5 linked regions of the Rattus norvegicus genome follow. The protein of the gene in region 3 interacts with the protein of the main gene of each other region in a biochemical or structural test. Links are inferred from orthologs where the notes say so. Each region holds a gene or a part of one and is shown on either strand. Other genes may lie near its edges. The genes, in order: Acvrl1, Smurf2, Smad1, Stub1 and Mapk1.

The links.
Region 1: of the proteins of Smad1 (region 3) and Acvrl1, one has a biochemical effect on the other in vitro, tested with the Homo sapiens proteins (2 studies listed by BioGRID). The link is inferred for Rattus norvegicus from reciprocal best matches to the Homo sapiens genes SMAD1 and ACVRL1.
Region 2: the proteins of Smad1 (region 3) and Smurf2 form a complex in vitro, tested with the Homo sapiens proteins (2 studies listed by BioGRID and IntAct, with this or other methods). The link is inferred for Rattus norvegicus from reciprocal best matches to the Homo sapiens genes SMAD1 and SMURF2.
Region 4: the proteins of Smad1 (region 3) and Stub1 form a complex in vitro, tested with the Homo sapiens proteins (3 studies listed by BioGRID, with this or other methods). The link is inferred for Rattus norvegicus from reciprocal best matches to the Homo sapiens genes SMAD1 and STUB1.
Region 5: of the proteins of Smad1 (region 3) and Mapk1, one has a biochemical effect on the other in vitro, tested with the Homo sapiens proteins (3 studies listed by BioGRID). The link is inferred for Rattus norvegicus from reciprocal best matches to the Homo sapiens genes SMAD1 and MAPK1.

What each region holds. Positions count from the first base shown.
Region 1 is NC_086025.1:134,126,399-134,131,606, forward strand, and holds part of Acvrl1 (serine/threonine-protein kinase receptor R3 precursor), read left to right. Parts: intron 1-606; coding exon 607-753; intron 754-960; coding exon 961-1,236; intron 1,237-1,375; coding exon 1,376-1,573; intron 1,574-4,508; coding exon 4,509-4,639; intron 4,640-5,208. UniProt on the Homo sapiens protein: Type I receptor for TGF-beta family ligands BMP9/GDF2 and BMP10 and important regulator of normal blood vessel development. On ligand binding, forms a receptor complex consisting of two type II and two type I transmembrane serine/threonine kinases.
Region 2 is NC_086028.1:92,357,965-92,363,732, forward strand, and holds the start of Smurf2 (E3 ubiquitin-protein ligase SMURF2), read right to left. Parts: upstream 3,817-5,768; 5' UTR 3,715-3,816; coding exon 3,663-3,714; intron 1-3,662. UniProt on the Homo sapiens protein: E3 ubiquitin-protein ligase which accepts ubiquitin from an E2 ubiquitin-conjugating enzyme in the form of a thioester and then directly transfers the ubiquitin to targeted substrates.
Region 3 is NC_086037.1:45,458,578-45,463,785, forward strand, and holds part of Smad1 (mothers against decapentaplegic homolog 1), read left to right. Parts: intron 1-273; coding exon 274-531; intron 532-3,153; coding exon 3,154-3,279; coding exon of another isoform or gene 3,280-3,324; intron 3,325-5,208. UniProt on the Homo sapiens protein: Transcriptional modulator that plays a role in various cellular processes, including embryonic development, cell differentiation, and tissue homeostasis.
Region 4 is NC_086028.1:15,353,842-15,359,643, reverse strand, and holds Stub1 (E3 ubiquitin-protein ligase CHIP), read left to right. Parts: upstream 1-2,084; 5' UTR 2,085-2,187; coding exon 2,188-2,349; intron 2,350-2,770; coding exon 2,771-2,969; intron 2,970-3,052; coding exon 3,053-3,218; intron 3,219-3,251; exon of another isoform or gene 3,252-3,383; coding exon 3,384-3,471; exon of another isoform or gene 3,472-3,654; coding exon 3,655-3,711; exon of another isoform or gene 3,712-3,797; coding exon 3,798-3,914; exon of another isoform or gene 3,915-3,992; coding exon 3,993-4,118; 3' UTR 4,119-4,366; downstream 4,367-5,802. Other genes in the region: Rhbdl1 (rhomboid-related protein 1), read left to right, coding at 11-282; Jmjd8 (jmjC domain-containing protein 8), read right to left, coding at 4,411-4,491, 4,570-4,704, 4,784-4,851, 4,930-5,049, 5,138-5,206, 5,289-5,382, 5,460-5,508, 5,658-5,756. UniProt on the Homo sapiens protein: E3 ubiquitin-protein ligase which targets misfolded chaperone substrates towards proteasomal degradation.
Region 5 is NC_086029.1:97,523,800-97,529,659, forward strand, and holds the start of Mapk1 (mitogen-activated protein kinase 1), read right to left. Parts: upstream 4,027-5,860; 5' UTR 3,813-4,026; coding exon 3,700-3,812; intron 1-3,699. UniProt on the Homo sapiens protein: Serine/threonine kinase which acts as an essential component of the MAP kinase signal transduction pathway. MAPK1/ERK2 and MAPK3/ERK1 are the 2 MAPKs which play an important role in the MAPK/ERK cascade.

The sequences.
Region 1 (5,208 bases), on a different chromosome or scaffold from region 3:
GGTCATTTTTGCAAGGACAGGGATGAACTGATAAGCTAAGAGTAGCCCAAAGCTGGGACAAGATGTTAATAAAGGTATATTTTCAGGTTTGAGGAGAGCCATAGGGCTTAGCAGGGGAAGGCACTAGAACCAAGACTGATGGCCCAAATCCAATCCCTGCGACGTACTCGTCGAGAGGAGAGAACCATCTTCCTCAGATTGTCCTCTGACCTCCACATGTGATCCCATTTAGTGTGTATCACACACACACACACACACACGAATAAATAAATAAATAAATAAATAAATAAATAAATAAATAAATGAAAAATATTGTGATCTAGAAGGCAGCTGGGGTTTTTGGCACATGCCTTTAATACCAGCACTAGGGAGGCAGAGGCAGGCAGATCTCTGTGAGTCCAAGGCCAGCCTGGTCTACATCGCAAGTTCCAAATCAGCAAGACAAATGAGACCTTATACTTAAAAAAAAAAAAAAGTTAAAAATAAATAAAATCGGATTTTTGCAGAGGGGATCTATCTTCATAGCATCCGGAATTGGGGTGGGGGTTTTTAAGGACTATGTGTGTCTAGTGCGTGGTCCTTATTCTTCCCTTGGCCACGGATTAGGAAAGGGCCGATATGGCGAGGTGTGGCGCGGTTCGTGGCATGGCGAGAGTGTGGCGGTCAAGATTTTCTCCTCACGAGATGAGCAGTCCTGGTTCCGGGAGACAGAGATCTACAACACAGTTCTGCTTAGACACGACAACATCCTAGGCAAGCTAGGGGACATGTCTGCTCTCCCAGGCCAAGGCACCCCAACTCCCTCAACTCAGGGCTGGAATACACCGAACTGGGCATTGATGTAACTCCCAGACCAGCTTCAGCCTTCGGTCTCTGCCCCACCCCTTCTGTGCCTCAGCAGCTCTACCTTCTCACCACTCCTTCCTTCTGGGTACTTTGGTCACACCCTTCTGTTTACAGGCTTCATCGCCTCCGACATGACCTCGCGGAACTCCAGCACGCAGCTGTGGCTTATCACCCACTACCACGAGCATGGCTCCCTCTATGACTTTCTGCAGAGGCAGACGCTGGAGCCCCAGTTGGCCCTGAGGCTGGCTGTGTCCGCGGCCTGCGGCCTGGCGCACCTGCATGTAGAGATCTTTGGCACTCAAGGCAAACCAGCCATCGCCCATCGTGACCTCAAGAGCCGCAACGTGCTGGTCAAGAGCAACTTGCAGTGTTGCATTGCAGACCTGGGTGAGCAGGAGAGAGGGGGTGGGGCTTCACCTGAGGGCGGGGCTTGCATGCTTGGCTCTGCCTGTTTTTGTTCGGGAGAGAATTGGAGTGGTCACCCTGTGTGGGAGCCCTGCAGGACTGACACGCCAAACACCCGCAGGATTGGCTGTGATGCACTCGCAAAGCAGCGATTACCTGGACATTGGTAACAACCCCCGAGTGGGTACCAAGAGATACATGGCACCCGAGGTGCTGGATGAGCAGATCCGCACAGACTGTTTTGAGTCGTACAAGTGGACAGACATCTGGGCCTTCGGCTTAGTGCTATGGGAGATTGCCCGGCGGACCATCATCAATGGTGAGAGCCCACCGTATGCAGGTTGTGTGTGTGCGCGCATGCATGTGTGTATCTGTGTGTGTGTGCATATGTGTATGTGTCTATGCATGCATGCATGCATAAGTGTGTGTGTGTGTGTGTGTGTGTGTGTGTGTGTGTACACGGATGCGCGTATGTGTGTAAATATATGGAGACCTGGTTTTCTGTGGTGGCTGGTCTTTTCTGCCCTTGACCTGATGGTTTGAGGTTAGAGCTCCTAGTTTTCTTTTACTGCTATGAATCGCCTAGTTCAGCACAGATGGACTTTAAGGCTCATCTGAACCTGGGAGGGTGTGGATGTGGCCTTGAAATCTTGAGTTAGAGACAAAAAAAAAATATTCAAAGCTGGAAATATAGTGGTAGAATGCTTGCCCAGCATGTTCAATGCCATAGGTTTTGATCCTGAGCATAGGGGCGGGGCAGGGAAGCAGCTAAGCTAGCTAGCATTTGTGGAGCTTAAATATGTGTCACAATGTATACTCTAACTTGTTGAAGTCTCTTATTTTGGTAAGAGTTGGCATTTGGCCAGTCAGATTGCCTGGACTCAGTTTCAGGTTTTGTCCTGACAGGGAGTACTTAGCCCTGGTGTGCCTCCTTCCTCATTTGTGAAATTAGGAGGAAAAAAAAAGTGTTGTTGCAGACATGATCCAAATTAAGTATTTAGAACAATATCTACAAGCTGGTGTATTCTCAGTACTCATAGGCAGAAGAATTGCTACAAGTTCAAGGCCAGCCTTGAGTTTCAGATCGGCCAGGACTACACAGAGAAGAAAGGCAAACCGTGCCTAGAGCTAAATATTAGTGGTCATAATGAAAGAGCACTTACATATTATTATTCCACTTCCTAAAAGAAAAGACAGAGATGCATGATTGTGGCTGGCTATCTTAAGTCAGGCCATCTGATTCTGGGCCAGTGCTGTCTGTTATTGTGGTAGTTAAATGTTGGTCTTGGTTTCTTCATTCATGTGTAAGCTATCTGGCTTCTGTGCTGCTTGCCTACTGCAGCCTCATTATCACAGTGGATTGCCACAGGAGACCATAACTTGAAAAGACTGTAGAAGCACCTGCCTGTGCAGCCCTGTGCTGGCCTGTGCTCGCCTGTGCTCGCCTGTGCTGGCCTGTGTTGGCCTGCGCTGGCCTGTGCAGCCTTATGCAGCCCTGTGCTGGCCTGTGTTGTCCTGTGCTGACCTGTGCAGCCCTATGCAGCACTGTGCAGCCCTACATAGCCCTGTGCTAGCCTGTGCTGGCCTGTGCAGCCCTATGCAGCCCTATGCAGCCCTTTGCTGGCCTGTGCAACCCTGTGCTGGCCTGTGCTGGCCTATGCTGGCCTGTACAGCCCTGTGTAGCCTTGTGTAGCCCTGTGCAGCCCTGTGCTGGCCTGTGGCTAATGGCCTTTTAACCCTGGGGTAGATGGAGGACCACAGGTTGACTGGACAGCTAACTGCTGCAATGTTAGCGTTTGTGGGGCCTGTCTATGGCCAAGGATGCTGGGAGTCCTGAAAGTTTGCAGACAATCCCGGGCATACTACTAGAGCCCTGCCCCTTGGGACCAGAGATGTTTTCATTTCCTGAGCATCTACTGGCTAGGAGCCAGCCTTTTACAACGTCACTCCTCCTTGGTGGTCATCTGTGACAGCAGAGACCCAGTTGTCACCAGAGAGTCTCCCAGGGGTTCTGATCCCGGGGCATTTACTGCTGGAGTCAGCTCTAAGTGGCTGGAGTTGGGGAAAGGGTACCTGGATGAAACCAAAGAAGTAGGCCTAGCTACGCAGGAAAGGAGGAGCTGATGGATTTGCCTTAGGCTCCTGGGGTGGAGGGGAAGCTCTGTCAGCCTCACACAGACTCCTAGCGCATTATAAACACTGTAATCTGGTGTCAGCCCCGGCACTGATTAAAGGCTCATTAGACACGCTCAGGCCTCTGCAAATCGCTGATTAGGGCGCCGGCGGCACAGGGGCAGCCTGGAAGCCCGCCACGGGGAGAACAGCTGCTGAAGGCTTCATTGAGGTTCTGGTCTTCATGATCACAGAAGCGGCCTGGAGTTGGGAAGGAGGAAGAGACATGGGGCTGCCTCTGACCCCACAGGCACACCTTTCAGAAATGGCTCGGGATAACTAGACATGGGGTGGGGACACCGTTGGTGATGGGGTCTGCAGAGACGTGAACCTTCCCTGACAGTAAGCACATCTTATTTGGACCAGGGAGTAAATCTTTTGCTTCTCGGAGAGGTGTTTTTCTGCTCTTTGTTGCCCTTATTACGTACGAGCCTCATCCAGCCCTACCATAAATGTTGCTGAGAGAGCGGAATCGAGGAATTTGGTGTTGGATTTCCGCCTTAGGTCCCAGTTCTGTCGCTTGCTACCTGTTGATCCTTAAAGACAAAATTTCTGAACATTTGGACCTACTGTTTTTGGTTCAATGCTACAGTCCCCATAGGCCACTGTGAGGCTTGCGGGTAGAGCACTAAGGACCCCTTCTGGCCCACCGGAAGTGCTCTGGGACACACCGGAAGTGCTCCGGAACACCAGCTGTTAGGGTAATCGGGCATCACTCAGGCAGTGGAACCCAGGCGCAGAATGGAAGCTGAGCAAGATGAAAATAAGATCCAGCTTAGGAAGCCAAAAAACGGGTTTCAAGTCCTGACTGTGCCGTGACTGGCTAGGCAACACGAATCCGGTGCTTCTGACTCTAGGCTTCTCCATCTGTGACTCGGGTGGTACCACACAGAGATACCACCAGGAGGACGAATGGGAAATCTTGGAACACAGGCAGTAGTTCTGAGCTATATGCACAGTTACTATATTGTAGGACGGGATCGCTCTCAGGAGAAATATAATCAGGCAGTTAGCCCCAAGCATGGTCATCCTGTGGGTGCTCTGGGTTCCAAGTGATTGTCCCACATCCCTTGAATCCCCAGGCATTGTGGAGGACTACAGGCCACCCTTCTATGACATGGTACCCAATGACCCCAGTTTTGAGGACATGAAAAAGGTGGTGTGTGTTGACCAGCAGACCCCCACCATCCCTAACCGACTGGCAGCAGATCCGGTGAGACCTCTGCTTGGACCAGGGCTGGGCTGGGGCTGGGGCTGGGGCTGGGCTGGGCTGTTCTGGGGCTGGGGCTGGGGCTGGGGCTGGGCTAGGGCTGGGCTGTTCTGGGGCTGGGCTGGGCTGGGGCTGGCCTGGGCTGGACTGGGCTGGGCTGAGCTGGGCTGGGCCGGAGCTGGGGGCTGGGGCTGGGGCTGGGGCTGGGGCTGGGCTGGGGCTGAGCTGGGCTGGGGTTGGGGCTGGGGCTGGGGCTGGGCGGGGCTGGGGCTGGGGCTGGGCTGGCTGGGCTGGGGCTGGGTTGGCATGGGTGGAGATTGATTCTCAGCTGAATTTCTGAGTTCAGGATCTTGGCTCTACAACCTCTGATTCTTGGATAGATTGTGGGTTGTTCTGGGTATTCCCCCCTACACACCTGGCTTGCGGAACCTTCGTCCTTCTCGGACCTTTCAGTCAATCTGATTTTATAACCTTTTTACCTCACTTGCAAGAATCAAAACCTCTCTGCTAAACTTCTCCTATCTGGCTTTTGTTGTTGATGATGATTTTTTTTTTCCCTCAAGACATTCCAT
Region 2 (5,768 bases), on a different chromosome or scaffold from region 3:
AGTACTCTGTTATTACTTCATACCTAAGAATTTAAAATATTAGAAACTACACTAAACTGCATTTTCTAGCATTTGATTTTCAAAAACAGTAAGGGTATAAAAATTTACCTGATTTTTTTTTTTTTACTATAACCAACTATATAGAATATTTTCAACCCAAATCCTTTCTTAATGTTTGTAGGAATGCCTATATTAGATATGTATCGAACTACAAATTACACATATGTAATCAATCCATTCCCCACTCTAAATACACAACCTAAAATTAATGGTGTTCCCAGATAGCCCATTTTAATGACCAAATGTTAATGTGTCATAAAAACTAAGAGAAGTAACTTGATAGGACAGACCATATACTCACCAATGGCTTAAGGAATCTCAACTTGATAATAACTTCATCTCACCTTCTTCAACAATATCACAATTTACTAATGGGTGGATTTTAGTAATAGTCTGTGGAAAATATCCACAGTGGGCAGAGTCTCATGGGGGTGGAGGGTGGTGGCTATGAAAGATCTGTTAACACCTTTCAGCAGTGGACGACTCTCCATTAAGGATGTAATTAACTGCAGCTCATAAAGTACCGTGGAATCAAAGGTATTTCCACAAATGTAAACTTTTAAATGGCTTTAACTTAGAATAAAAAAGTCATCTTAAAACAACTTATAGCTCAAGTGTATTATAAACCAAATAGAAGTTCACTGTGGATTTTTTTTTTTAAACTAAGTTTTTTCCTCTATTAGGGAATCCAGATTTAAATGAACTGTTAAACACTTAATCTAAAGGTATGCCAAACATTTCTTAAAGTCTTAACAAAGAATCAACTTTTTTTTTTAAACAAAAAGAGTCCTAGGTTAAATATTTTATTTGGCTTCTCAAGATGGACTGAGAAGTTGGGCACCAGCTCCAGACCAAGTCCTGGACGCACATCAAACACAGCCCTGTCATTTATCCAGTCAGTCAAAACAATCTTTTCCATCTAACCCTTTTATGTTTGTGTCCTAAAAAGCTGCTAATTGAATCCAGCTCTTAAGATCTATTTGTTAAAATTTATACTATTTAATTCGTAAATGATGAACAAAAATGAAAAAATGTGAGTTAATGTTCCTTGCAAAACAGGAGATTCCACCATATGTAATCAAAGAGACAACAATGGTTTTAATATTTGTCAGACTTTGCGAAAACTATTCACAGGAAAATTCCCAATAGCTTTAAAAAATTGAGAGTAGTTCAAACTGTTTTTACAATTAAGAGGAGAGGACAGATATTTAAAATTCTTCAGAAAAAGCTAAGTGTACAAAATCACTCTATAAATTTAGTCGAATGTATCCTCTTGCTCAGAAACTAAGTGTGATCTTTTTCCTCTCAAACTTCACTCAAGGGAAGTTTCTTTAGTGCAGTGGTTATCATGTTCACCTAACAAATGCCACTCATAAATCTTTTTAAACTATCATATACAGAAAAAAAATGACATAAATATAAGAGCTGCTCAGTCACACTACCCCTCAGAACACTGAGGGTTAAGGTATTTTCTCTCAAGCCTGATGACCTAAGTCTGACTGGTAAGACTCACAAGGTGAAAAGGGTGATCCCACCTTATCCTGTCCACCACATGTACTCCATGGCCATGAGACAGACACACACAGACAGAGACACAGACACACACACACACACACACACACACACACACACAGAGAGAGAGAGAGAGAGAGAGAGAGAGAGAGAGAACATAAATGTAACAAAACCTCAGAACTCATTTTTAATAATTCATTTGAATTCTATATGCATTGGGTATGAGTGTGTCAGATCCCCTGGAACTGGAGTTACAGACAGTTGTGACCTGGAATGTGGGTGCTGGGAATTAAACCTTTGGAAGAACAGGCAGTACTCTTAACTATTATGCAATCTCTCCAGCCCACCTCAGAACTCATTTTTATCTAAAGAAAACCCAAACCTCTCTTTTTCTCTCCCATGTATGTATCCCAGAAGAAAATTACAGCCCATTTCCGATGGCTTTTGCACACCTACACTCACAATTTCTTTCTGTAATTGGCACAGACCTGCCTAGTAAGAATATCAATATATAAACTAGAGCACCAAAGATCCTTTATAATTGTGTTCCACTGACTCCCCCAAAAGAACAGTAAAGATGAAGATCAAAGCACGCCCCCCAACCTAGTGTTAATAATACCTTGTGATTTCCCTAGGGAAAGAAACGCTTTCAGGTCAGTGCAATGTATATATTTTTTCATTACTGGAGATTGGGGCAGTATGTGTACACAAGTGCAGGTGCTTGTGGGAGGCCAGATGCATCAGATCCCCTGCAGCTAGAGTTACAGGTGGTAGTGAGCCAAGGACCTGGGTGGGGGGTGCTGGGAGTAGAACTCCGGTCCCCTTAGAGAACAGGATACACTTAACCACTGAGCCATCTCTTCAGCCTCAAAGGGAAAGTATTTGAAGCTGTAGCCAACATACATTCAAACTAAATTCTCAAATACCAAATTCACTTCAAGTTACCTAAAAGGTACAGCCAACGGACTGGCATTTAACACAGGCATTCAACTACAACATTCGTCCACATAAATTTCAAAGTTTAGTGTGGGCAAGCATAATTACAGCTTATCCTTCGCTGGTGCACACACATATGAACCAACTAACTGCAAAATGACGTCTTTTTCACCACACATCTGAATATAAATGCGGACAATTTACTTACTGTGAACGATGCGTCTAGCTAGCAGAGGGACAATAGTTTCACTTACACTCTTTAAACCAAACGCAATTTTCCTTAAAAGGAGGGAGATGCGACCACGGAAGAATATCAGAAGTGGCATCATAAGCAAATTATACCTGTAATACGTTAACAACTTGCTGCACCTGGGAACATAAACAGTCTTTAACAAATCCCTCTGAGCATTCCTTTCCATTTAGAAAGGGGCGCGAAGTGTGGAAGAGAACCAGTAAAAGTTCGCTTAAAAGTTTATGTAGGAGTCCAAGACTTAGAAACACATTTCCAAGCAAGCGATTCTAAACCATGTCTGGAGTTCAGACGTGAGCCACTAGTTCTGCGGCCTACAAGGAACAACCCCAAACACGCTACCCTACAATCAAACAACTTCCAAAACACAGAGTGTACAATGAGCCGGGAGTCGTGGGATCAGGCAGACACGCCGGAAAAGCCAACCACAGTCTCAGTCCCTCCCAGAGACGTGCGTTTTAAGGTGTGTGGCACTGGCCGCAGAGGTTGGCAGCTAGAGAGTAAAGGTTTCACACCCGGGCATAGGTAGGTGTCCAAGTTAACAACCCGGGAACACACGCACTCTCCCGTTAAGCACTCAACTCCATATTTAAGGAGTGTTTACTGCGCGCAGTCAGCAACTGGATTCAGTAATCCCCTTCACGACCCCACCTGGGCAATAGCCCAGGGGCTGCTCCTGTGACCCCAAGAAACTAGATGTCCGGACCTCAAATCCGCCCTCCACGGGAGACCCACGGGCCACACACTTGGCGTTCTGAAGAATTTCCCAACCCCAGCTAAGTGGTTCTCCAATGACTCCCTGAACTAGGCCTTCCCACGCCCGGATTCCCGTCCAACGCCACCACCGACCGCGACCCCGGCCCTCCGCCTGCCCACAGGCGCCGCAGCCGCCCGCCCTGCTCACCTGTCAGGCGCAGCTTGACGGGCCCGTTCCTCCGGCCTCCGGGGTTAGACATGTCCCCAGCGGCGGGGGAGGCGGCGGCGGCGGCGGCGCTCGCGGCCCGCGGGCGGGCGGGCTGGGCTGGGCTGGGACGACGGCGAGGCGCGGAGGAGTCACCACAGCGGCCGGGGCCGGGGTCCGAACAGCCCGCGCCGCGGCCGCCAGGGCCGGAGGGTCCCGGATGTGCCGAGCGCCGTCGCCATGAGCCGCGGAGGGAGCGGGACGCAGAGCTCCCCCCTCCTCCCACTTCTGCTTCCTCGGCCCGGGCCGCACAACAAAGCGGCAGCCGCGGCCGGCCGCGCCGCCTCCGCCTCGCGCCCCCGCCGCCTCCTGTCCTCGCGGCCCGCCTCGGTCTCCCCTTCTCGGTGCCGCGAGGCCTGGGAGCCGATGGTGCGAAGTCTGCTGAGGCGGGCGGGTGCTCGGCCGCTTCCTCCTCCGCCCGCCCTCTTGTCTGAGGGAACCCGGTCCTGGGGCCGCTGCCGCCGCCGCCGCCGCCGCCGCCGCCGCCACTCGTCGGCTCCTGGGGGCGGGGAGGAGACGGGGGCGGGGCCTGTTGCAGGGCGGGGTTTGTGGTGGGCAGGGCCGTCTCGGGGGCGGGGTTGTGGGCGAGGTCTCCTGCGCCTAGGGCGCCGGAGGAAGGCCGGACTCCGCGCGGGACGCAGGGAGCGCGTGTGTCCCGGCCCAGACCCATCTCTGAACTCCACCGCCCGGCGGCGCCGGCTCCGTGGCACCAGAGGGGCCTGCTGACCAGCTAGCTCACTGAAAGACAGCCTGTGTCCCTACAGGGCAGAATGCCCGAGTAATACTCCCACTGCGCGCCCTAAGAGGCTGGCGAGAGTAAAGTAAAGTTAGACCCGAGTCCGAAGAATTAATTCGACAAGACGCTATTCCCACATCGAACGTTCCAGCAAATTCCCAGGAGTGCTTAGCTCTTAGTATTGTAATTGCCACCTCCACGGACTCACCTGGTACTCCAGATCCGGTTACTTACCTGCTCGGACTCTTTTTTTTTTTTCCCTAGCAGGACAGGCATAGGGAGATGATACAAATACCGCCAAGGACTGTGAACAAGATAGATAGGTGGATACTGTGTTTAAAGCTCAGGCAGTACTGTATCTTGCTATCCCAGGAGGAAAAAAAAAAAAAGACAAAATGAACAGGACTGTAACTCTGATGCGGTAACTTACAGTAATAGGAACTTATTCTGGACAAATAAATAATACAGGTGTTTGGGGGTTTTGTTTTACAAGGCTGGGATGAGAGTATAGCCCAATAATGAATTGTATTACATCAGCAGCAAGACATTTTTATGCAGCTATCTAAATGGCAATTGTGGTGACCACGTTACATGGAAGATTTTATATGTAATGCAGGGTTTAAATGGAGAATACAAGTTCTATGTGCACATAAGTAGTAATGAAAACTAAGGATAAAGTGTGGATTTGTATCCACGTTGACTTTGCTTAAGGCTGTTATAACATTAATGCCGTTTAGACTGTTCGTTGAAGTCTAATACATTTTAATCCAAAACAATGTAAATGGTTGCTTACAATCTATCGGTTAAGACACTTCATTCTCCAGATGAAACCCAAAAGCATTTCATCAGTCTAAGTACACTCCTACGGATTAAAGTGATCCCCAAATCATAAGTTCTAGCGGTAAGACTTAAAATACAAGGGACAGCTCTAGAAATTCAATCAAGAAATTGTAAGTGCTCATTATTCACAAAGCAATGAACAGGGCCCTTAAGAAACACTTCTTTGTGCTGTGTAAGATCTGAAGGCTCAGGAAACCATTCCCACAAAAGTTACTGTGGCGATAGAACAATTGCTACATCACTATTTCAAACGCAGGCTTGTGACAATAAACGGAGCAAGCTGATGTATGCATTCATATTTCCCTGGTGGTTATGGCCCACACTTTGTTCCCAACCACCCACCAGCATAATTTGTAGCTTTGTACTGAGAAATGGAAGTTAAGATTTCAGAAAATGGTGGGAAACCTAGCAGGGGATGGAGGGGGTGGAGAATTTTAAGCAACACCTACGAATGTGTGGCAGGCAGCTCAGGG
Region 3 (5,208 bases):
AGTTTCTTGTGAGTGGGAAAATTTGAAGTGAAATGCAGCAACATGGTTTAGTCTGAAACTGTGTTTCAAGGCTTCCTCGGGTCAACAGGCCAGGAGCGCTGCTCTCTGGCTGGAGTCCTGTGATCCATCTGGGCTGTGCTTTCCCCTCTGGTCAGAGCTGTGGAGCTGACAGTTGGTGTTCTGGTCATTTGCCCTCACTTGCCGTGAGGCTGTTACCGGTTTTCACCGTTCTCATCTCTCTCTCTCTCTCTTTCTCTCTCTTCCTTTTTCCAGTTCTCCCACCGGTGCTGGTTCCGAGGCACAGCGAGTACAACCCTCAGCACAGCCTTCTGGCTCAGTTCCGAAACCTGGGACAAAATGAGCCCCACATGCCACTGAATGCCACGTTCCCCGACTCCTTCCAGCAGCCACACAGCCACCCGTTTCCCCAGTCCCCCAACAGCAGCTACCCCAACTCTCCTGGCAGCAGCAGCAGCACCTACCCTCACTCCCCGACCAGCTCAGACCCGGGCAGCCCTTTTCAGATGCCAGGTAGGAGGGGTTCACAGAGTGGGGATGGGGTGTTCGGGGAGGTGGGTGGGCGTGACCTGTAAGGAAGAGGTCTGAACCCTAGAGCAAGTCCCAGTGAACGGCGAGTCCTTCAGAACATCAGTTGTAGAGAGAGGAGTCTCACAGCCAGACAAGGGGATGGCCTGTTTGATTCCTGCTACATTTTCCCCTTGTTTTCAAAAGTTTTGAAACAGCTGCATCCTTCTGGGAGTGGCACAATTGTTCCAGCCTCGGCTCTCCATGAGAGAAAGGGGAAAACATCATGTTACAAACAGTGATGTTCCGAGAAGTAGCTCCAATGAGTGCTTCTGACATCGAAGAACCCTTGCTGTCAGTGCAGCCCTGGAAGAGCTGTTTTCTGAGGGGTCACAACCCCCATTTAATTAGATTCATTTAACCAGTGATGTGATCCCAAGAAGCATGTACTTTTAACAACAAGGAATTGTATCAGGAGTGCTGGAGACCATCTGCTTGTTTAACTTAGCAGAGACAAAGCCAGTTATTTTCCTGTTGTAGTCATAACGGATGCTGTGATAGTTCTCAAAATGGGTGATTAATTAGAACGTTCTAGTTTTCAAGTTGCAGGTTAGTAAACAAGCATCTCAAATATTAGTGCTAGAATCCTTGACGGTCAACAGCAGGAAGGCTACTATAAACAAAAGATCATCTTGAGATCTGGGTATTTCTGTGAGGGCGATAACTGGGCGGGCAGGTGTGTTTACGGAGCCACTAAAAGTGCTTTAGATTAAATTTTAATTCAATGTCCATGTTGAAAAGTGGTCCACACTTTATTGCTGTTTCTTCTTTTTTCTTTAATTATTCTTATTTTAATTCAACTTGTTTATTTTGCATTATGTCTGTCTGTTTGGGATGAAGGTGTAAGAGATTATTTTGATAACCAAAGTAATAACTCGATGGTTTCCTATCTACCCATTCCCTGGCAAGTCTGCTGGGCCTGCTGGATGGGCCGGTGGTGACGGTCCATTTCAGAGGACTTTTGACCACCCCAGGCGAGCCCCAGTAAAGAGAAGCAAAGACTGTTGCTAGGATTCACTCCTGTCCTTGGCCATCAGGGATTAAAGCAAAAGCTGGAGGAGCGAAGCTCGAGCATGTCCTGGGGGAGGTGGTAGAACACTGTTGGTGAGACCCTGCCGCCCTGAGCCCTGGTGGCGCTGCTGAGATTTTCACCGCCTGTTGGGGTACATTCATCCGGTTCTGTTGAGCAGCCTCCTGGCTTTGCTCCTGACTCCAGACAAAGCAGACTTTACCTTAGAGCTGCACCAAGAAGCTGGAGTGCAGGGAGGCCCACTGAGACGCACAGGAAAGGTCTCTGGAGCCCGGCTGGCTCTCAGCTTTTTGGCAGCTGAGTTAAGACTCTGCCAGGGTCAGGGGTGGTGGGAACTGCCAGGGAGCCCTGTTGCCCCTAAGTATTTACCCAAGCATTTATGGATCCCTAAGGTAAAATTTTGTTCTCAAGGCTCTGCCGTACATGCTGGGTGGGCTGACAGGCCAACGAGGAGCTGTATTTGGTTTTTAAGTCCTATATTTCCCAGTAAGAAAATAGCAGTCTTGCATTAATATATGTGGTTTCAGTAATCTTATTACTTGTTAGAAACTGTTCAGAAGGAGACCTATGTAAATTCTAAAACAGAAGACAGCTGAGCTAAACTGTTTTATCTCCTATTATTCTGTTACTGGGGGTTTTTAGGCTAGTCATTGCTTAAATGGTTATGGTGAAGGTAGGCCTAAGAGATTGCTTAAAGTCATGGGAAACCAAGACTCAGTGAATAGCAAATTCCTGCCCAGAGGTTTAATGTCAGAGACCTGGAAAGAAGTTTCTCCTTACCAAGTCTTGTCAGGCAGTTTGGTTACAGGAGTGAAACCAAATTTGAGGGCTCTCAAGAGTCTGCTGCACCCGTGTCCTTCTCAGTGGGTTTAAAGTGACGTGGTCCTAGAGAGGTACGGGGACTCCTGGAGCCCACTTAAGGGTCTGTTGTCACTGGAAACAAAGTTTGGGGATATGATCATTTTCTGAAACTATACCTTAAGTCCAGTGTCTTTAGGCTTACCCCTCACCCCTCTGCAAAGGCTTAGATGCTAAACTGTTGCCGAGATTAGCCTTGACTTCTCCATCATCCTGCCTTTGCTTCCCGACTGCAATCCTTGCAGTCAAACACCACCGTGGAAGGCCCTTTTGTTAAGGGACTGGTTCAGCACAGGGAGGCAGGGACAAGCAGATCCCTGGGGCTCACTGGCTGGTCAGCCAAGCCTGCTTATAGAGTCCAGGCCACTGAGAGTCCTTGCTTCCCCCACCCCCGCCCCACAGAAGGTGAGCGCTTGCCCGATGGCTCAGGGGGTATATACTTGCTGCCATTGTGAAGGCTTTCACTGAGTCCCTGAAACCTACATGTTGGACCTAGCTCCCCAAGTTACACTCTGACCCCCACTTGTTCCTTCTCCCCCACAGTAATTAAACCCAAAGTTATCCTCTGACCGCCTACATACAGTAGGCGTGCACCTGCATTCCCGTGAACAGTGTGCACAGAGACAACACAGAAGAGAATCTATGCCTGAAATGTATTTTTTTTCTTTAAACCGTTGTAGCCGACACACCCCCGCCTGCTTACCTGCCTCCTGAAGACCCCATGGCCCAGGATGGCTCTCAGCCTATGGACACGAACATGACGAACATGACGGCACCGACACTGCCCGCGGAGATCAATAGAGGAGGTGAAGTCAGCTGCCGCTCTCCCTGTGAGAGTTTGTTGTCTGCAGGTCCAAGTGTTGCTTTCAGTCATATAGACCTTCAAACAGTAGCTGTCTAGAAAACAGAAAAAACTGTTGTTCTAAACCTGAAGGAAAGAATTCTCTAGAATCCAGCCCTTTGCCTAAAATCTCTGCCACAGTCTCCTAAGGAGTCTCAGAATTGAATGAATTTTCAGTAGCCTATGAAACGGCCTTAAGCGTCTGTTTGCCATTTGGTACTAGGAAGTTAAGTGAGGCCAAGTCTCAGCCTTGGTGATTAGAAAACCAAGCCGTTGGCAAACTCTGAAGGCAACCGAATGTGCCATACATCCGTCAGAGCTGAACAGTCAGCTGAGATTTATTGTTTCCGTAAAAGGCGAACAGGCGTATCTCATTAGCATGCTAATCTGCTTATACTTTTTGTAAATGGCTAAGTAATATAAACAAAGAACTGTTTAAATATACATTTATCTATGGTTTAGTGTCAATAGACACATGGTTTGTATAGCTGTTTCATGTACCTGTGTGCATATGAGAGCTCTTGCACATGGGGCAGCCGAGGCCTGTTTTACATTACCTGTGTCTTTTATTTAGATGGCTGTGTATTCAGGTCTTCAGTAATTAGTAACTTGGGATCGGTGCTGCAAGAATTGTCTTTAAATGGGCCAAGAGGAATGGGCCATCCGCAGTAGTGCAGAGCGGACTTCCCACTGGTGATCTCACTGGAAATCCATACAGCTGGGTTTCCAGACGGTTCCCTTTGTGTTAGAATAGACAGGCACACACGCATGCACACACAGATGCTTACATAGAGGTGTGCATGCGCACACACACACACACACACACACACACACACACACACACACCCCTTGTCTATTTTAGAGCCTTTATCGTTGTAACAAGTAATGGTGCATTTTTCCTCTCTCTGTCCTCCTGCCTAACTTTGTTACCAGAAGAATTAATTTAAAGGATAAGAATTTACTCTTGGCTGGGGATTTAGCTCAGTGGTAAAGCGCTTACCTAGGAAGCGCAAGGCCCTGGGTTCGGTCCCCAGCTCCGGAAAAAAAAAAAAAAAACCAAAAAAAAAAAAGAATTTACTCTTTTCCCCCTCAAAGAATTTACAGCTGAACTGACGTTCACCTTCCCTCAGGGGAGGAGCTGGTCTTCACCCCGAGGCTCATTTCAGCCCAGTATACCAAGTGCACATTACCCCATGCCAAGAGGTACCATGTGCCCTGGCGAGATCTCCCATCCGCTCAGTAGCTTCTGAGGGAGCCTCCAGCAAGCATTCCACCCGGGGATGAAGCAAGTTGAAATTAGAAGCAGTATGGCTGCTTGAACGTGTCTTGTTTTGTTCTAAAGCCCATTTCAGTGAAATGAGAGGTGCCTTGGACTGGATCCGAGTTCCTGGTGCTTTTTCAGGACTTAAATATTATGCTGTCCCTGTGGTAGCACGAGGATAGTAGCATGCTGGGTTCACATGTGATCAGATGCACACACTGTAGCCAAGAACAAACCCTAATGCTCACTCTGGATTTGGGATGATGACATGTCCGTGTAGGCTCTGGGATTATATTGAATATGCCAATCTGATGCCAGATCTCTGTGGTGGGAGGGCATATGGGAAGTCTCACTTTGCAGGGACCTGAAGTGTTGACTCCAAAATAAATACTCTCAAAAAAAAAAAAAAAAGAAAAAGAAAAAAACCTTAGCAGTACAGTTAAGTAAATTAGAGCATATATAAATCAGTGATTTTGTTTTGAAGTTTTCTTTATAGGTGCTCTGTGTTTTATGGGTCTTGGTCAGCGTTAGATGTTGGGAGTTAACAAGTGAAGTGTGTGAAAGAGTAGCCTCTATCTGACCTATTTTTAGAATTTTTATTTGGGGAGCAAGATTTCCTGTGTGGACCCTGTA
Region 4 (5,802 bases), on a different chromosome or scaffold from region 3:
CCCTCTGCAGTGAGCTCCGAAGTGGGCCGGGCTGTGTGGCTACGCTTCTCCCCACCACTGCCTGCCTCAGGCCCACAGCCTAGCTTCATGGCACACCTGGCTGGTGCAGTGGTAGGTGTAAGCATGGGCCTTACCATCCTTCGAAGCTATGAGGAGCGCCTGAGGGACCAGTGCGGCTGGTGGGTGGTGCTACTTGCCTATGGCACCTTCCTGCTTTTCGCCATCTTCTGGAACGTCTTTGCCTATGACCTGCTGGGTGCCGATATCCCCCCTCCACCTTGACCTGCTCCTTAGGGCCGTATGGCTTGAGCTAGGCCTTCAGTGGGTCAGCCACCAGGTGGGCCTGCATGTCTGCCCTCTAGGAATGGACCTCTTGGCTGCTTTTCCCCACGGGGGGACAGGGGGGCCCTGTGATCCCCCCAGCTGAAGCCAAGTCTTACTGCAGCCCTTGCTGCCCCTCCCAGGCCTTTCCAGGGGGAGGGGTGCTGCTAGGCCAGGGCTGGGTGGAGGACCTTGAATGTGGCCCTAGAGGAGCTCCCTTCCCTCCCCACCGACCCCTCCCAGGACTTGCAGTCTGAGCCTTTTTGGAGAATGAATAAATATTTTACACAGCACCAGGTAGCTGTCCTGGGGCTCTGCAGGCTTGTCTGCCCCCTCACCCAGGCTGTATGAGACGCCCCCCCTCCAGGGTCTGTGCTTCCTCTCTCTCCCCTGAAGCTCTGCACCTGCATGAGGTGGTGGCTTCACTCCTGGCCAGGGACGGAATCCACAGGAGGTGGGGCCCCTGGGAAGAGACTGTGGACTTCCGGGTCAGTCCAAGTTCAGCAGTCGTTTATTGTGCTCCAAGAGCTTCCAATCCCGGTTCTTGCAGCCTCCCTTCCAAAGGCAAGCCCGAGACAGAGCCAGGTTCACTTGGCCTGGGTCCTGTAATTCTTGGCAGGTCTATAGTCCTTATGGGAGAACCAGTTGGGGTGAAGTTCAGGCAGCAGGTCTGGGCATACATCTGCCCATAGTCCAAGTTTGCAGTGCTCTCTTCACAAGATGAAGCGTCTACAGACAGCTCTAAGGCACTAGAGATCTACAAGAGTTCTGGGGTCGAGTTACTAACCATCGGAACCATGATGGGGTCCTGGGTGACCCCTCAGGCCCCTGCTCAGAAATGCAGTGAGCTCTTGCACCTGGGCTAGAAACAGCAAGTAGTACTTGAGTGTATGCTGCAGCGTTAGCAAGCCAGGAACTGTAGCCACTGCAAAGAGTGACAAGGAGGTTCTGGGGACATTTTTTTTTTGAGTTCCTAGAGCCCCCACCCAACTTGTGCAAAGATGCTCCCTACTCACTCGAGGCAGTGGCAGAAACCACGCAGCGAAGTTTGACTGCGGCGCACAGATCGGCAGAAAGCCGAGTTTTGCTTCTCCAAGTCCCGGGTGGGGGATGTTAGCGGCCAACAGCTGATGCAGCAGCGGCTAAAAATGCCTCATCTACAGACCTGGGGTCAAAGGGTCTTGGTGCAGGCTCTCTCCACGGAAACCTGCTGGCACCGCCCTTGAAGAAGCTCCGCCCCATGACCGCAGAAGGGGAGCGTCCAGCCGCGGACCCGCAGCTACCTCTATAGCAACCGCAGCAGGTCCTTTCGAGTCAACGCGTCACGTGCTTGTTTCTCAGCCAGTAATGGCCGCAGGCAGCTTCTCCCGATTCCCGAGGAAGCCTCTCGAGGGTGGTCTGACCTGCGGGCCTCTCTCCTTCCCTCAATTCCGCCGTCCTACCAGCGGTCTAGACGTTCCCAGGCTGCCGCATGAGCCCGCGTGCGCCCCGGTGGCGCGCTAGGACCTGGGCCTAGTGACCGGCCCTCGGAGCGCCACTTCTCCAGCACGGACCGCTGCCACGTTCGCGTGGCGTGGGCCGGAGGGTGGGGCTTGACTGCCAATGGGCGGAGCCTTGGTCTGAATATTGAGGGTAGGTCCTAGTTACTGTAGGGCGGGGCCGGTAGAGAGCGCAGCGGTAGCTTCTCCGGGCTAAGCGAACCCGCTCAATCCGCGAGGCTCCGCCTTTGCTCACGTGTCCCCATGCCAGCCCCGCCCCACACCGGAAGTTCCGGTGGCGGATCGCCGACCGGGCGGAGCTGATAGCTGCGCGGGCTGCGAGATCTAGGTGGCCGGGCGCGGAGCCCAAGCCGTGCCGCGCGGCGCCATGAAGGGCAAGGAGGAAAAGGAGGGCGGCGCGCGGCTGGGCACTGGTGGCGGCGGCAGCCCTGATAAGAGCCCGAGTGCGCAAGAGCTCAAGGAGCAGGGAAACCGGCTCTTCGTGGGCCGCAAGTACCCGGAGGCGGCGGCCTGCTACGGCCGCGCCATCGTGAGTGCGGGGGGCGGGGGCGGGGGCGGGGCCCGATGTGCCTCCCAGTTCTGTGATTCCCGGACGATTTCTGGCAGCCTAGACCCGGATTGCTGTTCCCGAATCCAGGGCAGATTGACTGGGGACTGGCGGGCGGGATGCTTGATTGAGGCAAGCTAAGGATGACACCAGAAATTCTTGCCCCTTGAGGCTCCCAAGCCTAAAGCTGGTGGAGGGGTTCTGGGATTTTTCTCAAAAACAGTTGGAGGCAAGAGAGCATGGCTAGAATCCAGAGCTCTGATAACTCGGAAATCTCCAGTTCCTCTCTTCCACCCATGGGCCCCCAATGCTGGAGAATTGTCCGGATCATTGGCTTTCAGCTTGCTATTAGAGAGGGGATCAGATGAGCCCACATTCTTTGTCACCTGATCTTGGTTCCCAGACCCGGAACCCACTTGTGGCAGTGTACTACACCAACCGGGCCCTGTGCTATCTGAAGATGCAGCAGCCTGAACAGGCACTTGCTGACTGCCGGAGAGCCCTGGAGCTGGATGGGCAGTCTGTGAAGGCGCACTTCTTCCTGGGGCAGTGCCAGCTAGAGATGGAGAGTTATGATGAGGCCATTGCCAATCTGCAGCGAGGTGGGCTGACAAGATGCCAGATTGTGGGCACCTTTGGGGCCAGGATTGTTGACAAGTGTAACCTAAAGTGTCCACTCCCCCAGCCTATAGTTTGGCCAAGGAGCAGCGACTCAACTTTGGGGATGATATTCCTAGTGCCCTTCGCATTGCTAAGAAGAAGCGCTGGAACAGTATCGAGGAACGGCGCATCCACCAGGAGAGTGAGCTGCACTCCTATCTCACCAGGCTCATTGCTGCTGAGCGAGAGAGGTGGGTCCCGCCCCCAACAGTTAACACCGAGTCAACAGTGCAAGTGTTTATTAAAGGACAGCAGCCGGTACATGGGAAGCCCGGGAGGAAAGAGGCCTGAGATGGGAAGGGATCTGTCATTTCCCTGTTGGGGCCATCACCAGCTGGCTTTTTCTTGACCCTCAGGGAACTGGAAGAGTGTCAGCGGAACCACGAGGGTGATGAGGATGATGGCCACATCAGGGCCCAGCAGGCCTGCATTGAGGCCAAGCACGTGAGGGTGCCCCTAGTCCACATGTGGGTCGTTGTGTGTGTGTTTTTGTGTGTGGCATGAGAAGTGCCCCAGCCTATGGTGGCTCTGTTGGCCCATGCATGACATGAGTGCCCCGGTGGACAGAGTGTGTGTGTCTGTGTGGAGGAGACAGGAGTTGCCCACACATGGCGCTCAACTCTGCAGGATAAATACATGGCGGACATGAATGAGCTCTTCTCTCAGGTGGATGAGAAAAGAAAGGTAAGGACGGAGCCTTGAAGCTCATGGGCAGGCTCTGGTATGGTGACTTCCTTTCCAGTTGCAGACATTTCCCTCTTGTGCTGCAGAAGCGAGATATCCCTGACTACTTGTGTGGCAAGATCAGCTTTGAGCTGATGCGGGAACCCTGCATTACACCCAGTGGCATCACCTATGACCGCAAGGACATTGAGGAGCACCTGCAGGTAAGGAGGGCCTGTGGTCTCGGGACTGGGATCAGGGGACACTCAGGCCATTGAATACTCTTGACTCTGTCGTTGCAGCGCGTGGGCCATTTCGATCCTGTGACCCGGAGCCCTCTGACCCAGGAACAGCTCATCCCCAACTTAGCCATGAAGGAAGTCATTGATGCTTTCATCTCTGAGAATGGCTGGGTAGAGGACTACTGATACCCCATGTCCTGCCTGGCACCCTGGCCCAGGAGGGTCTGGAGGCAGAAGCTCCAGTCCCTGTATATAGTTTGTGTCCCTGGGCCTGCCCCCATCGGTCCTGATGATGGGTTCTGAACTGCTCCCCTTCTCAGCATATCCCTTGCTGGGCCATGAGCCTCCCTTGTCTCCCTTCTGGGCTGGAGAGCTGGTGAGGGTGGGTTGCTGCTGCTGCTGCCACTGTCCTGTAATAAAGTCTGTGAGCACTACATTGGCATGTGCTGGTGCAGTGGGCTTGCCAGTCGCTTGTTGGCTAGCCAAGGAAAGTGGATATGAAGACACTGGTGTCCAGATTGAGTGTGGCATGCCACCACCGATCAGGAAAGTACAGCGCCTGGGAGAAGGGGCACGGAAAAATAGTCTGATTCCCTAGTTTTTGGGTTAGCCCAACCCCCACCTACCAGCTACTGACTTCACCAGCCTGGATGGTACATTCTAGAGGCCGAGCTGATGGGGCTAGAGATGGGTATATTTCCAGGAGCCAGGCCAACGTGGTCTTGTTAGGGTGGAACTCAGGTGTCTTCTCAGGAGGGTAGAGGAACCAGCGCTGGAGGCAGGAATGTTAAGGTCACTCTCATGTGCTATGGACTACAAACACCAAATTCATGCCCCACCCTTGCACTGACCTTCCGACCATAGATAACCTCTGAGAAACCAGGCCCATGCCAGTGGAAGGGTACCCCAGATCCAGCTCCTGTGGGGTCAGTTGTGAATAGCTGATGAACAAAATATATACGGGCTTCCCCCAAATCTGTTTGAAAGGAGCACCTACCTGCAATTCCAAAGCTATAAGCAGGGGTGGTTCCCAGTAGACGAAATGGAGGTGGACGGTAATGTTGGAAGAGTGGGGCCCACTCAGTAAAGTTGTTATCTCCGAAAAAGTACAGGGTGTCTGCCAGCAGAGAAGATGACAGGCAGGGGTACTGGCAACAGTGGGCTCCAAAGTGTCCCACTCCCACTGCTGCCTGGGTCTGGCTCACCATTGCCTAGAGATTCGGGGTCCTGGGGGTGCAGCAGCTGCTCCACATATTCCTGGAAAGGCAGGTCCACTACAAGAAGGGGGAGCCAGGCGGGACTGATCAGTCCTGCCTTTGGGATGTAAAGGCAGACCTTGAGGGGTGTGTAGCTCACCTTTCTGGTAGGAGTAGGTGTTGGCTGTACTCAAGCGAACAACATTGTCCCCAAACGAGGCCAGCAGGTTTTCCCGGGAACACAGGGCTCTGAACTTCTGGGGATGGAGGATAAGATAAATGAACAACTGGCCAAACGGGACCAGTTGCCCACATGCGCACGAGTACTCACCGAGTTGTCTGTGAGTCCTTGCAAGATGACGGGCTTGAGGAAGGCATAGCTGGGGGGAAAAGGGGAGCATGTTGCACAGAGGTTGAACCCTACAGGGGCTTCTGCACACTAGGCAGTGAGAGTATGATCTTCGCAGCCAAAAACCATGCTTGGGAGTATGCCTAGAATCACGCTGAGACTTGGGGCAGTCACACATACTGCTGCATAAATTCGGAGTACGTGAGGTGTGCTCGGCGCTCGACTGTGCAACGTTCCTCCTCCATCACCGCTGCTTCAGTTCCCAGCCTACTCTGTTTCCTGCAGGGGCAACAGGTCAGGCCAGCCAGAGCCTTGAGTTCAGGCT
Region 5 (5,860 bases), on a different chromosome or scaffold from region 3:
CATTCTCCTATACAGTCCAGCAATTCTCAGGTTTCTCTTCTTTGCCAGTGATGCTTTTATTCCTCCTGTTTTGTCAGTGGTTCTTACCTATACTGGGGATCATGAACCCTTCTGAAAATCTCCTAATTTTTATACCGAAAAGATGCTGAACATGCATGTTTACAATTTTAAGAAACCAGTGCCTCAAATAATAATTTGCACTCCTCCACTCAAGATTTTCACTATTACTCATGGTATAGAAAGGTTTCTTTTTTTCTGTATGTTTTGTCTGCTTATGTTTGTATATCATGTGTCTGTGGAGCCAGAAGAAGAGGTCAGATCCCCTGGAACCAGGGTTAAGGGCAGTTGCAAGCTACCATTTGAACCCAAGCCATCTGCAAGAACAAATGCTATTAATGCTGAGCAACCTCTCCAGCCTGTTACACTTCACAAACTGACACAGCCATCTCTGTTTCTCCATGGTAAACCTGCTTTGCCTTCAGGACCCCCTCTCTTGGATTATGGCACCAGTCCTACACTTCTCATTTTAGCTCAGCAATCTTTAAACCTAAACCCATCTTTCTTGGCTCCCCACCTTATAACTACCTTGTCTTCATTAAATCTCTTATGACTTTCCACAAGACCTCTTATGACTGATTCTGTCTGCTCAAGAGTCCTCCTCTCCAATGACACTTAATTACTGTACCTTGAGATGGCAACAATGGCCTAATTGCTGTATCACCACCAAAATTAAATTTGCCTACAACTCTCAAAAACATCACTGCTTTCTTTCCCACCGCCTTTTCTTACGGAGTCCTCTACGGTGTTTTACCTAAATACTTTTCTAAGGTTAGACTCATCAGCTCAAGCTGTTACTTGTTCCTATTATCTGCCTATCAAAATCACACCCACTCTTAAATGCCCAACTCAAAACCCAGTCTTCTTCTAAAAACATTTTATTTTTAATTATGTGCATTCATATACATACATATGTGTGCACACAGAAGAACCCATAAGAGGTCAGAGACATCAAGACTACTTGAAGTTACAAGCTGTTAGGAACTGAATTCTGGTTGTAGCTCTTAACTGCTACACCTCCCACACCCACATTTTATCTTTTTGTCTTCTACATAATGATTATGAAGGGAGCTTGAACAAATAGGCACAATTCTCCACGACCTGCTTTACGGAAATCCTGCTAAGAACGGCTGAAAATCCCTTAAGTAATTTTTTTTTTTTTTTTGGTCTTTTTTTCGGAGCTGGGGACCGAACCCAGGGCCTTGTGCTTCCTAGGCAAGCGCTCTACCACTGAGCTAAATCCCCAACCCCCAAGTAATTTTTTTAAAGAGTTATTCTTAAATCAGTTTCCAGGGTGTGTACCCTAGTGAGTCTTCGTTGGACCACATGTGTGTAGATGCCCTTGGAAGGAGGGGTGCAGTAGGTGGTGGGTGGTAGTGTCACGTAACACAGATGCAGGGATCTGAGCTTAGGTCCTGCAAAAGCAGCAGGTACTCAACCACTATGCCGTCTTTCCAGCTTTTTTTTTTTTTTCTTTTTTTCGGAGCTGGGGACCGAACCCAGGGCCACTGAGCTAAATCCCCAACCCCGTCTTTCCAGCTTTTAAAGATCACTATTCAAGTGGATACTTAAGCTGAGAAGCTGCCATAAACTCAGCAATAATCAGATGATAATGACACACAATTAAGAATATTAAATAAATACTAAGATACATTATCTGGAGATAAGAGGCTGATGCTTGGATTTAAATTTCAATTATATTTGTATTTTTCTTAAAATTAAAATTTGTAGGTGCCAGCCTCATCTACAAATTGAGTTCCAGGATAGCCAGGGTGATTACACAGAGAAACCTTGTCTTAAAAAATTAATTAGTTTTATTTATTTTATGCATATGAATGTCTTGCTTAAATGCATGACTTAAGAGAACATCTCATCTTCTGGAACTATAATTACAGACTAGGCTGTCATTGGAATCGAACCCAGAGCAGCCAGTGCTCTTAACTGCTGAGTCATCTCTCCACCCCTAAAATGTGAATTTTAAAAAGAATTCTGCACAGCAAGCGGAAACTTCAAAGGTCAATAGCAACAGGATCTAAACAATCCATCTTATTAAGGTGGTCCTAAATTTTTTTGTCTCTATTTAAAGTAAGCTTTTTTATTCTTTTTTTTTTTTTAAATAAATGAGACTATGGTGGGTAATCATTTGAGTGTCAATAATAAGAGTTACTGGCATACTTACCAGCAAGTGCAAGGGCAGTAATACATGCAAGACAGATGTGATGTGGAAAGTAATTTTTCCCCATTCCTTTACAAAGACTTTCTTGTAACCGTGACCTAAATTTAATTTCCCCTTTGACTCGCAGGTCCAGTTCACTTTTACCTTCATAATTGTATACTATGAAACATTTTGCTCATAAGAATATAACTATTCTCCGGTCCTTTAAAAAGGAAAGTTAATTATTCTACCTAGTTAACACACTTGGTGAAAACACATCTTTCTTGGCATTTCTAAAATTATGACCATTCAAATTTGAATGCATTTCTGAAATAGACTTGTTCATCAGGAAAATATGCTGAAGTTCTGAAATTATTAATAAATCAAGGAAAGGCGTGTGCAATCATAGCTGAGGAGCTGAAGCATTTAAACCAGGATCTTTCTATATATAGAAAGCATGATTCTAGTTCTTCACCCTTGGGAAAAAGACTTCCTTTCAATACCTTATCTGAAAAAGGGTGTCTTCTCTTTCTTCAAGATGGCTATCCAAGTAAAATTAACTACCTCAGAAACCTTCGATAAATGAACTTGCTTTAATTAAAACAATACACTTCATTCCACAAGCAGAAAGTACTGTAAGTGGTTGTGTATATATAGTGAACACTAAAACGTTAGGGAAACGACCACAGTAAATAGGGCTAATACCTATGGATACATTCACATGTACTTTTGAGGGTAACGACGGGGTAATTTAAAGTCAAATTTGGAGTTAGGCCTAACTCCAAATACATCTTAATAATTCTAAGAGTGATGCTGGTTTATCCTTCCTGAAACACAATCGGTATGATATTTAAATCCATTTTGAAACTTCAAGATTTCAGTATATCCACAACCAACGCTGTGTCATTGTTTTTTAGAAAGCCTGAGGTAGAACGCATCATTAGCTCTACTGAAGATATTTTGTGAATGCTGTTCACGTACACAGAGAGAATAAAAATATTTTGGTGCTCAGCACACAAGCCCATTATTCCGTCTTGCAAAACCATTGCCGCCGCCACCACCACGGACATGCATCTAATGGAATTCCTAGTTTTAATCTAATGTCAAAAGGCGGCGGCTATAACGCTATGAACTAGGGGACATGGTGCACTTCCGTTCCCGACCCAAGGGAGAAGCCTCGAAAGTACGCGCTCGAGACCAAGCCCGGGAGTCTTCGAGTCCTGGCCTCGGTCTGAGATGCCCTTCCAACAGCAAACGAAGGGTCAGCTCAGGAAGCAGCAGAGCAACACTTAAACCTCGAAAGGGCCCCCGGGACCCCGCCCCAGGGCCCCAGGAGTGCGGGCCAAGGAGAAGCCACGGGTCCGGGGGCGCCGCGGACCGCGAGGCCAAGGCGCGGGAAAGGCCGCAGCTGCGTCCAGATCAGCCATAGGCAGGGGGCACAGGATGACCGCGTGAGGCCGGGCCTGCAAACCAGCGCAGACACTTACCAAACCATGCCGTAGGCGCCTTCTCCGATGTACGAGAGATTAGTGTAGCGCGGCCCCACGTCGAACACCTGCCCGCGGACCATCTCCGGGCCCGCCGCCGCCGCCGCCGCCATGTTGGCTGCACAGCCTCCGCCGCGTTGGGCTCGACGCTTCGCGGTTACCGCTCGACTTGTGCTGCGCTTCCCACAGGAACCGCGCCGCCGCCCGTGTAGCAGCCGCTGGCGGCGATCGGGAACGAGGAGGGAGGACAACACAGAAGAGAGAACTAACCGCCGGTAGAACCACTGCCTGCCTTCCTGCCTGACGGGCGGGCGGGCAGCGAGTGGGAGGAGGGAAGGACTCGCGTCGAGGGGCGCTAGGGCGGAGTCAAGGGCGTGCGTGATGATTGGCTTCTCCCCTCAGAGAGGGCGGAGTCTCGCGGGCCGGCGGAAGCAGCGAAGTAAGCCAGGAGCACTGCGGCTGCGGGGGAGGGACGTCACGTGCGTTCAGAAAGCTAAGGGCTGGGTAGCTCTAGAAAGCTAGATTGGAACTTAGGCATAATGACCCCACAGAGTCCCACCACTGTACCTGGTCCAGAACGAACTCGCGCGGGACCAGGGACTTGAGACCAGAGGACTCACTGCACACCAGCCACGGGACCCCTGAGACAGACAGGCCTCTAGGAATACGTGGCCCACATTCTGCACTCTTATGCACTTAGACCGTCAGAGTGGGACAGAAACCAAAAAGATGACCCAGACCCAGAAAAATATTTTCACCCTGTAATGAGAATAATAAATAAAAAAGATGCCTTTTGGACATATAAAAACAGATTAGTCAGGAACCCTACAGTACCTAAGGCTGCTCCTGATACCCAGAGCCCAGTGACATGGAGATGACATAGTCCTAGAATCCCATGATGCCTACTGGACAAAATATAAGCAGAGACCAAAAGCAATGCTTTGCTCTACGTATCTGGAGAGATGCACCTTGATCTGTTCTGTGGCTAGAGAATCTCCCTCAGAATCCTGACCCTCAAATCAGAGACTTCTGTTAGAGATTAGACCTGACCTGAAGCTAAGATAGGTCACACAGGTGAACAGCCTTGGGAAGACAGGCTTAGGAATGTAAGGAGTTTAGAGTGTAAACCTTGCATGATGACCTTCAGCATAATAAAATATAACTTTTCTTATACTAACTACGTATATCTACCTTCTTACTGGTGACGCACACCTAACAGTGTGAGACATAAATAAGTAGAAACCAAAACACAAGACATTGAATCCCCTAATTAGAGGTTTCTTCAAGAAAATTTGCTTAATACCTATAGCATTGGAGCCAGCCATGTTTCCAGAGTGAAAAGACAGGCAAAATACAATATTTGCACTTAAGTGTTGTGAAGAAATAAAAAGCCAAGGGAAAATATAAAGAGCTGTGGGTGGGGACGCTGGAGAAAGACAGTGAAATTCCGGGACTTGGATTCAGGTGCTGTGTAACACTTTCCTGAAGGATTGAAACATTCTATCCGGAGGGGTAACTCCTTAAACAATAAGGTAAAAAACTGAAAGGAGCAAGTCAGTGTGGTGCCTCACATGTACCACTTGTGAGGCAGAGTGGGGCAGATCTCTTAAGAATGGGAGGCCAGCCTGGTCTACAGAATGAGTTCCAGGATAGCCAAGAGTCTCAAAAAAAAAAAAAAAAAAACCAAAAAACAAAAAAAGCAAAAAACAAACAAACAAAAACAAAAACAAAACAAAAAAAAACAATCAAAAAACTCAACGGAGTTTAAGAAGTCCTTGAAACTGACCAGATTCACTAGGCCCCTCTCACCAGAGTAAGCAATAAAAGCTGAGAGTCCCTCTGAAATGGAGCTCAGGTGAGCTGCAAAGACTCTTGAGACCAGCTACCCGGAGGAGGCAAAGCTCTACCAATTGCCAGGTAGTGGTTTAGACAACTATGCACTTGGAAGGACACTCTTCCACTTTGGCAGCACCCACACTTTGCTCTGTTGTGAGCTCCTTTTTGTAGTGAGGAGACGTGTGTAATGTCTCCCCAGGAAAAGTTTTGTCCCACAACGCCTGCTTGGTACAGATGGGCATACTGAAACACAGCACAGTTAGAATGGCTGAAAAAGATGAACAAAATTTAGGGGAAAAAAAACGATCACAAACACCACTAAACT